2 linked regions of the Caenorhabditis elegans genome follow. The protein of the gene in region 1 interacts with the protein of each later gene in a pairwise test. Each region holds a gene or a part of one and is shown on either strand. Other genes may lie near its edges.

Region 1 (7,842 bases):
TGATTAGCAGTGAGGCAAAGTCCGGTGGCTAAAGTTTTCATAATTAATGAAGGTGAAATCATATAATGTTCAAAACTGTTCATATAATTTTGATTGAATAACTTACTACACTGAAGATCGATACAAGTTCCTGGATTGACGCCGTTGGTGATGAGTGGACTGTTTGGAATGTAGACAACGACGTATCCTGGTGGGCAGAGTCCATCAATAGCTGGTCCGACTTGGCATGACTCATCAGTATATCTGACAACTGGGCAGCAGTTAACTTGGTTGGAATCGCAAGCGTATCCGGCTGGGCATCCTCCGTTGAATCCAGTTCCTGTGCATGGGCCAATGGAAATCTCATCGGTACAGGTGACACTTGCTGGGCAGCAGACTCCGTTGGTAAGGGAGTATCCGTCGATACAAACTCCGTTGACAGAGGGAAGACCAGTTGATCCATCAGTACAGGTGGCAGAGCAGCAAAGGTTTCCTTGAACGGTGTATCCAGTTGGGCAAAGTCCATTGATGGTTGGGCCGAGAACTTCTCCTCCATTTGGACAACTGTTGATGGGGCAGCAAATGTTTCCGGTGGTGCAAGTGTATCCAGATCCGCAATAGTATGAGACTTGAACTCCTCCGCATCCATCTCCGGTGCATGATGGAATGCAAGCTCCGACGGCGTCAGATCCGTCAAGACATTTGACAGTGGTTGATGTTCCGGCGCAGCAAAGTCCATTGGAGCAAGTGTATCCAGTTCCGCATTGTCCGTTCACACATCCTCCAGCAGCTTGGGTTCCATCAGGGCAGACTGGAAAGTTCGAAGATTAGAATGTAAAGTCTACATTAAAAATTACCGAATGGGTTAGTGGTGGTGGTCTGTGGGCAGCAAACGTTGTTGCTACAGGTGTATCCACTAGCGCATCTTCCAGACATGCAGGCTCCAACAGCGTTTCCTCCAGATGGGCAGGTGTCTAGAATAAGATTCATTTGAATAAATACCTATATCGATAAACTATAAAACTTACAGACAGAGATTCTTGGAGCAGAGTTGTATGATGGGCAGCATTGGTTTTGGATGCAACTGTATCCAGTGGCACAATATCCAGAGCTGCATCCTCCGACAGAGTATCCACCTCCTGGGCATGAGTTTTGTGCTGAAATATCAGAAATAAGTTCAGCGTTCAAATTTTCAGAGTACTCACGGATAGTGATGATTTGTGGGGCATTCTGGCATCCGACGCAGTTGCTGGATCCTCCGCCCACTGAAAAGTTAAATATAAATATCTGACTGTACATACAATTTGTTAGAAAAATGTTTTATTACTGCATCCACATGAGTAAGACGAAAATCGTGCAGGATCTGAATCTGGGAAGTTTGCTGAAGCTTCCATCTCATTTTCATCTTGTTTTTGCTTTCTTCTCTTCGTTTTTCTCTTTTTTGGGTTCTTAGGATCAGTGAGTGGTAGTAAAAGCGGACAGCAGAGGTTAATAGCGGTATCACAGTGCAATCCAGCTGGACATTCTGAACCAACAGAGCAGATCAAGGAAGACTGGAAACCTCCGGCACAAGAAACTGTAAAAGACATCTGGAAGGTGCAAGTGATGTTAGAAGGTGCTCACCACCATCTCCTTGAGCTCTTATCAGAACTTCATCCAAGTTGGATAAATGTTCAGGGAACCCATAGCCAGGAGGTCCGATTGGAAAATCATTTTGAAGAAGTGGATCAGAGAGGGGATCCACGTCTTTCTTTTTGGGTTTTCTGTGCTTTTTACTAGAGTTAGACTTTTTCGTATTATTTTTGGTTTTTGTGGTTTCTGGTTGTGACGGGTTAGTTGTGCTGTTGGTGTCAGAATCTGAATTATGGAAGTGTGCTGGTTGTGGGAAGTGATCAAAAATGATTGAAAATACTTACCAATAATAGCTGAGCCAGAGTTGGATCCACTGGAGCAACAGTATCCGTTGTTGCAAGTTCCGACGGAGCATGGGTTGGAGTTGGAGCAGCTAGAGAATGTGCACACGAGTCCGCTGGCTTGTTGACCTGTACATAAATATTACAAATGTAAATTGAGATTATTGGAGTATGGATTTTCATAATGAAGAATGTTAGAAGTAAGTATTCATGCGAAGGTTTAATGTGGTTAGTTATGTTATTTAATTGAATATGTCGGTGTACACGTGTTTGTCAAAGAGATTGGGATTGAAGCATTGTATCTGGATCTGAAATACATAAAGTTTGAATTAAGTTCATTTTCTTTGAACCTCACCTTTTAGGTATTAGCTAATTGACAGCATCTACCCCGTTGATTACAGAAATAGGGAGATGGACACTGCAAACTGTATCGGCAGGAAGTTCCGAATCTTGGATCAACTTCAACAGATCCTATGGGGCATTCTGAGGAAACCTCAGCTGTTACACTTCCTTCGACGACAAGTCCTGGAAATCATTAGTTCAATTAAGTTTGGGATGCCATGTTTCTTACCAGGACTATAACAGCATGCAAAATGTTCCTTATTGAGTAAAGTACATTTGTGAGATGATGATGGGCAGTGATCATGATTACTAGCAGACTGACATGAAGTTTCAGGAACCGTCCCGTCTGGGCAATGAATGTTCAGTTTGCAGCATTTGCCCGACAGTGAGCAAGTGAAATCGGGAGGGCACAGAGTATGTAAATCACATCTTTGCGTGGATAAACATTTCTAAAAAATAACATTGAATATTTTACCACCTCGAGTAGAAACTTACATTTTTGTTAATCGATACACCACTGGTTTTGTCAACTTTCTTCCAAACTTTTGTTGCTGTTGAGATTATTTCTTCTTTTATAATTACAGGCGTGGTTTCTCCGACACTATCGGAAGTGGAATCCGCAGATTCTGAGAGGAACGGACAACATTTCCCATATTCACATCTAGAAGCAATTGGACAATCATCTGATAGAGAACAATGAACTGGAATCGAAAGAGCCATCAATCCATTTCCACATCGTGCCTTTGGTGGTTGCTTACAGCATATTCCATCTACACATTCTGACATCTCTGGGCATATAATATCGATATCACATTTTTTAACTCTGGTATCCACTTCACAGTCTCCAATTATCAGTTTTTCTGTCTCTTTGGTGTGCTCGTTGTCTTTGCTCATTGTCAAAACTTGTGATTTTATCACAGCTAATTCGATAGTTTTTGGGCAGCATCCTCCAAAAAAGCAATGTTCATTTGCTCTACAGTGATATTGAGTTTTACATGTGAATTTGACGGCTGTTAGACTTCTCGGACATACAGCCAATTTACAACAACCTTGATAACATTTGAAGGTTGTTGGACAATCTTCATCAGAAGTACAATTCGCATTTGTTCCTCCACATGTTGCAGATGATGATGATGCTCCGCCTATAAAAGTACAGTTGATGAAATGAGGTGGTTAGCTAATGCGCGTGCTTCTCATTAGGCTCCTATTTACTTTGTAAACAGTGGTGGAAACGGAGAGCGCTCTTTCCGAAATACTTTAAAGTGACCACAAACAGATGAGAAAAGGAAGGAAGAAAAGTGAACGCACCTAATGAATTGACCTCGTCCGTGTTACTACTCAAACATCGAAGTTTTGGAGGTTCAGTGGTTCTTGTCGGAGTTGGTGTGATTCCTGGAGCCATAATTTCATCTAGTCGCTGCGGTTTTTGAGTTGGGAGTGATTCGATTGCAGCACTATCAAAAATATCATTATCCACTTCAAATATTGTATTTGTTGCCTCTACAGTTGCATATCGATATACTTTTGGATGTCGTAGTAGTTTTCTTTCTTCACAGCAGTTATTCTGGCATGTCATTCCTTTTGGACACGATTCATCGATTGTGCAGACCGTCGAACATCCAATTGATGATTGCAATGCAGTTGAAGGGCAACACACTTTTTGTGCGGTACAAAAATGTCCCTTGGGACAAGAGTACGGATCCCGAGTACATGTATTATTAGGAGGAGAACCATCAGAACACAAATCTAATGGAAAGTTAGAGATCATAGGCGGGAAAAGTGTGATTAGAACCTACTTGAAGTTGTTAAAGGGATACAGTTACCATTGCGGCAAGCTGATCCCAGTGGGCATTTCGAGCAGGGATTTTCAGTGTTAGATGGGGAAGATGTTGATGCTGTTTAAGCAATTAGTGAAATAATATGTGGTTAATCATAAAAACAACTTACGGGAGAGAGAGCTCATTCTCTTTGGAACGATACAAGTTTGTTGCTCAAAGTTGAACAAGAAGTTCTCTTGGCACGACTTGCGGACCCATCGGAGAGTGCTGGAATTGAACATTTTGTTTTTTATTATGCAACGGTTTCCTACGTTTGGTCACATTGAAGGTAGGAAGATGGGAAGTCGTTATGAGCCTGAAGACAGGTGGCTGAAACGGCACAGACCTCGCTCTCGCGGGCTCCATTGTCTTGTTCTGAAAATATTTTATTGATCGATTTAGAATAATAAGATGAAATTTCAGTTTTAAACCAAATCCCCGATCTCATTAAGTTATCCCTTCTGTCTTTTCTCGCTGGGGTTCTTAAAAACAAAACACTTTTCCTCGGTAGGTCGCGGCGGCGACTGGTGAGCTCTGCGAGCTGCGTATCCCTTCCTCCAACACTCTCTTATCAACCTTCTGACCTATTTGTTGAACCCCCTCTTGGTCACGCGCCGGCGACTCTCAACGCACTGTGCGCAAGTGAGTGGTGGACAAAAGCCGGCGGAGCAAGCAGGAATTGCAAGACACCGCAAGTTGCGTTTTTTTCTTCATTCCCATCAAGAGGATTTAGGTCATTTGCGTTCATTAGAGTGGTCAAATAATGGAATTGTGAAACAAAGGATCCCAGACAAAAGTGGCGCATTTTCCTCGAATTTCCTCGAAAAGATGATGAAATTTGGTCACAAGAAATGTAGTGAATCTAGTTTTGGAATTCGTTGGCAAAATATCTACACACTATTTGTGATGTTTGTGTGTTTGTATGTGTGTGTTTTATTTTTTGGAATGAATTGAATTGAGTGAGAGGAAAAGGAAAAGAATTAAATGTAAACACACAAATACACAAGAAACACTGTCAGAAGCATAAGCAAATATGGCTTGGAGATGTCGGACTTCCACTTTTTTCTACTTTTCTTTCTTCTACAATTTCCTAGATACCTTATCGCTCGTAACAGTTCATTTCAACTTATTGTTGACCACTGTGGTTGATGTTTATTTGCGGTCAGAAGTGGGCTCGCTCATTAGTTGACTTAAGAGCTTCCACCGATTTAAAATAGAGGAATAAATGTTGGTGATGAAGAAGAATAAGAAGTCTAAGAAACTCACCACAAATGTTCGGGGAAGCTGGTTTACGAGCTTTTGGATGTTGTTGTGGCTGTGTATTTTCAGCTGGAACAGATGGTACTGATGAAGGAGCGGCGGCGGCTCTCGACTTCACAACCCAGACACCTTCACCTTCGGCACTACTAAAAGAATGAAAGATTTTCAGTTGTTTTGGTTGAATGAAACTCACTCAGCTGTCGTCTCGCACTTGAGGAAAAACTGTGTCTGTTTTCCTCCAATTTGAACATCAGCAGTTCCAAGTTTACACGTTCCGCCAATTACAGGCGTCTGTCCATGTCCAGAAGCGACTGTAAATTAAAATTGGTTTGAGAAATGATAAGAAAAATGAATGGGAAATTATTATTATTTAAATTCTCAAAATACAGTGATATTTCAGGCCTAGATTTTCAGACAAATTCTTGCAATCTAGTAGTTGAATAGTAAACTATAAGATGGAATAAGTTTGATAAGTTTTATGTATAAACCCATTTAAATTCAAGATCAAATTTAGACTATTCAGAAACTTTTTTGCCTCTGAAAATATATGGAAAAATATAGATTTTCAAGAGAGAGTATTTAATTTTAGAGCTAACATTTTTCAAAAATAAACAGAATCTAGAATGTATTATATAAAATTTGAAAGAAAGCTTACCGAGGAGGGTGATTAAAATGAGATTGCGCAGCATTATGTGTATACTGCTTTGTGATTATATGATAAATGGAAGAAGGTGGTCGATTCAGATGGAAAACAAAGCTGCTATCTTCTTCTTCTTCTTTTGGTGGACTCGACAACAATTGCCACGCTGGAAAATTTGAACACTGATAAAGTGATAAAAGGCTGTGATGGGGTGGGAGATAAGGGGAGGAGACAACGGAGCAACAAGAAGACGGAATTTGAAAATAATGGTATTGTGGGTGGGGGTTAAGATGTGAAATGTGTCTTCTCTCCGATGGTGAGGTAGAGAACGAATGAAGCAGGTAGGGTGAGAGCTAGAGGATAGGAAGCTTCCGAGGGGTTGGGGAGGTTTGTATGCGAAACGCGCCGCCCTCTCCGTCTTCTTCGTTTCTATCTTTCGTCTCTTCTCCTCTCCGCGTATACTGTACCGGTGCGGAGATTCGCACACGACGCTTGAGAAGGTGGCGAAGACGGAGAGAGGTCAGTACTCTTTCTCTGTCTCTTTCTACATCAAGTCGGCCGAAAATAGAAGCTCGGCGCTTATGAGCACGAGAATAGAAGGCGCGCGCGAGGTCGCGGTCTCTCTTGCGAAAAAGTACTATTGTTTCCTTTTTTAGGGTTATTTGGGGGAGCAACACTAAGGCGTCTCAGATGAGGTAAAACCGCCGCCAGGAAACACTGGATCAAGTTTTTTGGGGGTTGAGCAACTTCTTGGCAAGAAAAGAGTCGACGAGTTCAACTTGACCAGCGCGGACGAATTCCGGGCACGGATGAAAGAGGACAAATAATCGGAAGTGATGATGAGGGTGGCGTAATTTTATAGTTGATTTCACAAGAATTTTATGATTATGATGGAAGTGATTGACCTACAGTAGTCTTACAGTACAGTACAGTAGTCTACAGTAGTCTTGACATCTGTTCTTGAAAACATATAGTTTTGAAGACTTAAAACATCCACCATCCATGTATCGAATAATATGTAGCTAATGTTTCAAAATGATATGATGTTTTCCGGAACTACTGCATATTTCCATAACATTGAAGGACGCGCGATGCACACATTTCCAACAAAAATCGAGCACCAAGCGCCCACCGCGACTCGTATACTGTTGCAAAGTGCACATTCGGTTTCGATTCGACCGAGTCATTGTAATTTAACTGTTCTGCCACTTGTAGTCATTGCCACTTTTAAGTGAAATTGAGACCCTCCAAATCCAAATTCCCGGACATAAAAAACAACGCGCATTTTTGTAAGATCTCGTGTAATTCAAAACTCCATTATTCTAAGTGCGCAATGCACGCAATTAGTGAGACACCTCTAGTCAAATACGATGCGATGTTGGTCAGGCAATTTGAACTGGACAGGGCAGCTAATATATTATGGACTGTGAAAATTTATTCTCAGTTTTTTTTAATTTCAAGCCTTTTAATTTGAATCTATTACTGCTTCACAACGATTTTTGTTTTTGGATTATCCGTTGGCAGCGCATTCCGATTTTGAAATTTCCGTGCTATTGATGAAGCCAAAAATTTAAGCCGCTTTTGATAAGTAACTGTAAAAATTCAATTGAGTTAATGCAAATTCGGTAACTTATGTTTTAGCGTTTTTCGCTCAACTGATAATAAGATAATGTTGTTTTTAAAACTTCCAGCGTACATTAAAAAGAAATGGAAAATAATTTCCATGCATATCATTGCTAATTTCTTTACCGGTCTCTTTTTGCAAAAGTACAAGACCATTTAATTTCTCGATGGCATCCAGTTCGTTCCTTGCGTAACTGGCCATATTCATATGTAATTGAATGAAATCTCACTTTTCATTCAAAACCATCTTCCGAATCCGGAGAGACTT
Region 2 (3,576 bases), on another chromosome or scaffold:
GACGTAAAGCTCGTCGAATGCAAAGATCTGAATACAAACACGCAGAGGAAGACAATAAAGGTGTTCGCCAAAGACTTGCCGCCAAACTTGTGGCCAAGAAATCGGAAATTATTGAGCGTTTCTGCCTTGCTCAACGTACTGTCTTTGTTAAAGCAGATTGTCCAAATGTCTATGGCCGGACAACCACTCACATTTCCTATCTTTTAGAATAAGTTGCTGTCGTCGTTGCACTGTTATCTTGTTTCACTACTGCACAAAAAGTGGCTCACAAAAAAATCCTGTAAAATTGTCTATAAAAATTCACCGTCAATCTCGAATATCACTACTCCTCATATTATTTTCTGAAATGTTTTTTTTTAAACTTATCTGTTGATTGTAATAAACTTGTAATTTACAATTCATCCTTATAGTTTTTTGAATCTACCCTACCTTATTTTTTGCCAAATGAATATTTTTGAAACTCAATGTTTAGCAATAGAGAAAGAAAATTGATTGACTAATGTAAATGGCCAGAATTTTATTAATTCACAATTATACAAGAAAAAATAAAATAAAATACCCAATTAAATTTTAGTTACACACATTGATTCCTCATAAGACGGCGGTAGAGCGGATGTTCCCGCTGTATCATCGGTCGGAGCACTTGGAACCACAGTTGAATAGGCTGGAGGTTAGGAATCCAGCCGCTCAAGGACAGGTGGATCAGACGGAAAGGTAGTTACCGTTGGCTCCACGATCGATTCAGTTATTGGCACTGTGCCGATGATGATATCAAACTCGCAGTGCAATGTATTATTAAGGGTTGTTAAAGTGTCCAACCTCACAGAAAGACAATACTCAATGCTGATAATGGGACTTGTAAATGTTGGTGGCGACTTTGGGATTTTCATCCGCAGCATTTCACGGCCAGCGGTTTTTGGAGCAATTTTTATGCTTTTTCGAGCTTCTGCAATACGTTTGCTTTCATCCTTGTGATGTTCGTGGTAAGACGAATGAGTGCATAAGAGGCCATGGTTTTTGCTAGCATTGTAATGCGAGTGCTGATGAAGTTCAGCTCGCACAAACGTTGCTGCACGTTTGGAAGCATTGTCAATGTCGATTGTGATTGGCAGGTATTCTCCAGGAGCATATCCTGCTTTGGGGATAGTTACCTGAAAGCATTAAATAACCTATCAATGTAGCAGCGTTGTACTCACAGTTATTGTTACTATTCCTTTTTTAAATATTTGCCCAATGTCCTTCACATCCTTCATCATTCTAGGAACATTTCCCAACGGAAGATGATTCAAGTCAAAGTTGGGAATAACTGAAAAATAACTTTTTGCGCACATTAACAATTTTCGAAATACCTTTGAAGTCTTCCCTTTCGTTTTTGTTGAACTTCCATGGTCTGTCAAGCTCAACTCGCACGGAATAACGAACGTGGCCGTGGAAACCTTCAAAACTAGGTGGACATTCTATCGGGAGTGGAAATGCAAACGGGAAGACATGGTGGCCAGATGGAAGTTTTTCCTGTAACAATATTGTAGTTTGTTATCAGTTAAATGCATGAAACTAAATACTCAAGATCGTCTTTTGTACATTACACTTCCAATTTAAGACTTACAGTTCCATTTCTTGCACTCCATGCAATCGTTTCTCCAGAGACGTAGTCAACTTCTGCAGAGTAGTGCACAATTTCAGTATAACTTTCCTCTTTTCCTTCACAATTACTAAACTCTTGTATGTCATTAGGTCTAGATGTCTTGGAGCTTACGTTCTGTATCGTCGTTCCCCTTCACTCCACTTCGTATGCGCAGCACCGTGAATACAGATTTTCAAGAATCGGGCAGTGATTGGCTCGTTGGATCTCAAAACAACCTGCCCAGTAACAGTTTGACCTGGTGCATAACCTCTCGGGCTATCGAACACAATTCCAAAGTGATCCATATGTTCCATATCTAAACTAAAAAGATACAAGGAAATTTAGAATTTTAATTAAGGAAAATGTTGTATGATTATAAAATGAATGAAAACTGATAAAATGAAGTGGTTATCAAATAAATTGCCGTTTTATAATATATTGTGACTCAAAACGCGTAATCAGGAGGTAAAATGTCGTCATCAGTCTTATACCGTGCGTTATTTGATTTTTGTGAAATCATATTTATATTATAAAACGGCAATTTATTTGATAACCACTTCATTTTATCAGTTTTCATTCATTTTATAATCATACAACATTTTCCTTAATTAAAATTCTAAATTTCCTTGTATCTTTTTAGTTTAGATATGGAACATATGGATCACTTTGGAATTGTGTTCGATAGCCCGAGAGGTTATGCACCAGGTCAAACTGTTACTGGGCAGGTTGTTTTGAGATCCAACGAGCCAATCACTGCCCGATTCTTGAAAATCTGTTTTCACGGTGCTGCGCATACGAAGTGGAGTGAAGGGGAACGACGATACAGAACGTAAGCTCCAAGACATCTAGACCTAATGACATACAAGAGTTTAGTAATTGTGAAGGAAAAGAGGAAAGTTATACTGAAATTGTGCACTACTCTGCAGAAGTTGACTACGTCTCTGGAGAAACGATTGCATGGAGTGCAAGAAATGGAACTGTAAGTCTTAAATTGGAAGTGTAATGTACAAAAGACGATCTTGAGTATTTAGTTTCATGCCTTTAACTTCACAGAATATTTTACTCTCTGGCTTCACAGAATATTTTAATCTCTGGCTTCACCGTATATTTTACTCTCTGGCTTCACAGAATATTTTACTCTCTGGCTTCGCAGAATATTTTACTCTCTGGCTTCACCGTATATTTTACTCTCTGGCTTCACCGTATATTTTACTCTCTGGCTTCACAGAATATTTTACTCTCTGGCTTCGCAGAATATTTTACTCTCTGGCTTCACCGTATATTTTACTCTCTGGCTTCACAGAATATTTTACTCTCTGGCTTTACAGAATATTTTACTCCCTGGCTTCACACTTTTTTGAATTTGGTTTCGAAATTCTGAAAGAACACAAAATTTGCAACAAAATGGCTACAGGATTTTTGAAAAAGTTAGTTTGACGCCAGATTCTAATTTTTGAAAATTGGAAAATCTACTAATTTTGCATGGTCGTTTTTAGTCATTCTCAAACTGTGCACTAAAAGGTATGACTGAAAATCCACTTTTTCTGCTTGAACTCCGCTAGAGGAATTTCTGTATCCGAATTATTTTTTACAGGCATATACCTTGACGAAATTACAAAAAAAAATTTTTGGAATTTTGGGAGACTTGATATGGCCCTGAATAGAAAATTTTTTTCTAAGATTATTGGTAAAGTTCGGGACCTGGAAATTAAATTTAAGCCACGCTAGAGGGGTTTCTGTATCCGAATTATTTTTTACAGGCATATACCTTGACGAAATTACAAAAAAAAAATTTTGGAATTTTGGGAGACTTGATATGGCCCTGAATAGACAATTTTTTTCTAAGATTATTGGTAAAGTTCGGGAAATATACGGTGAAGCCAGAGAGTAAAATATACGGTGAAGCCCGAGAGTAAAAAATACGGTGAAGCCAGAGAGTAAATGTTATATAT

The links.
Region 2: the proteins of chtb-1 (region 1) and arrd-24 interact in a two-hybrid assay, tested with the Caenorhabditis elegans proteins (one large-scale study listed by BioGRID).

The regions. Positions count from the first base shown.
Region 1 is NC_003281.10:9,349,346-9,357,187, forward strand, and holds the start of chtb-1 (Chitin binding domain (ChtBD2) containing chtb-1), read right to left. Parts: upstream 6,001-7,842; coding exon 5,967-6,000; intron 5,623-5,966; coding exon 5,505-5,622; intron 5,458-5,504; coding exon 5,318-5,457; intron 5,055-5,317; exon of another isoform or gene 4,875-5,054; intron 4,427-4,874; coding exon 4,324-4,426; intron 4,280-4,323; coding exon 4,182-4,279; intron 4,130-4,181; coding exon 4,031-4,129; intron 3,981-4,030; coding exon 3,543-3,980; intron 3,377-3,542; coding exon 2,730-3,376; intron 2,684-2,729; coding exon 2,464-2,683; intron 2,418-2,463; coding exon 2,280-2,417; intron 2,022-2,279; coding exon 1,896-2,021; intron 1,837-1,895; coding exon 1,603-1,836; intron 1,556-1,602; coding exon 1,307-1,555; intron 1,245-1,306; coding exon 1,185-1,244; intron 1,137-1,184; coding exon 1,008-1,136; intron 954-1,007; coding exon 837-953; intron 791-836; coding exon 107-790; intron 29-106; coding exon 1-28.
Region 2 is NC_003284.9:13,978,569-13,982,144, forward strand, and holds arrd-24 (Arrestin C-terminal-like domain-containing protein), read right to left. Parts: upstream 1,950-3,576; 5' UTR 1,939-1,949; coding exon 1,757-1,938; intron 1,713-1,756; coding exon 1,607-1,712; intron 1,513-1,606; coding exon 1,350-1,512; intron 1,307-1,349; coding exon 1,197-1,306; intron 1,152-1,196; coding exon 672-1,151; 3' UTR 501-671; downstream 1-500. Other genes in the region: F48F7.6 (Zf-C4pol domain-containing protein), read left to right, coding at 1-212.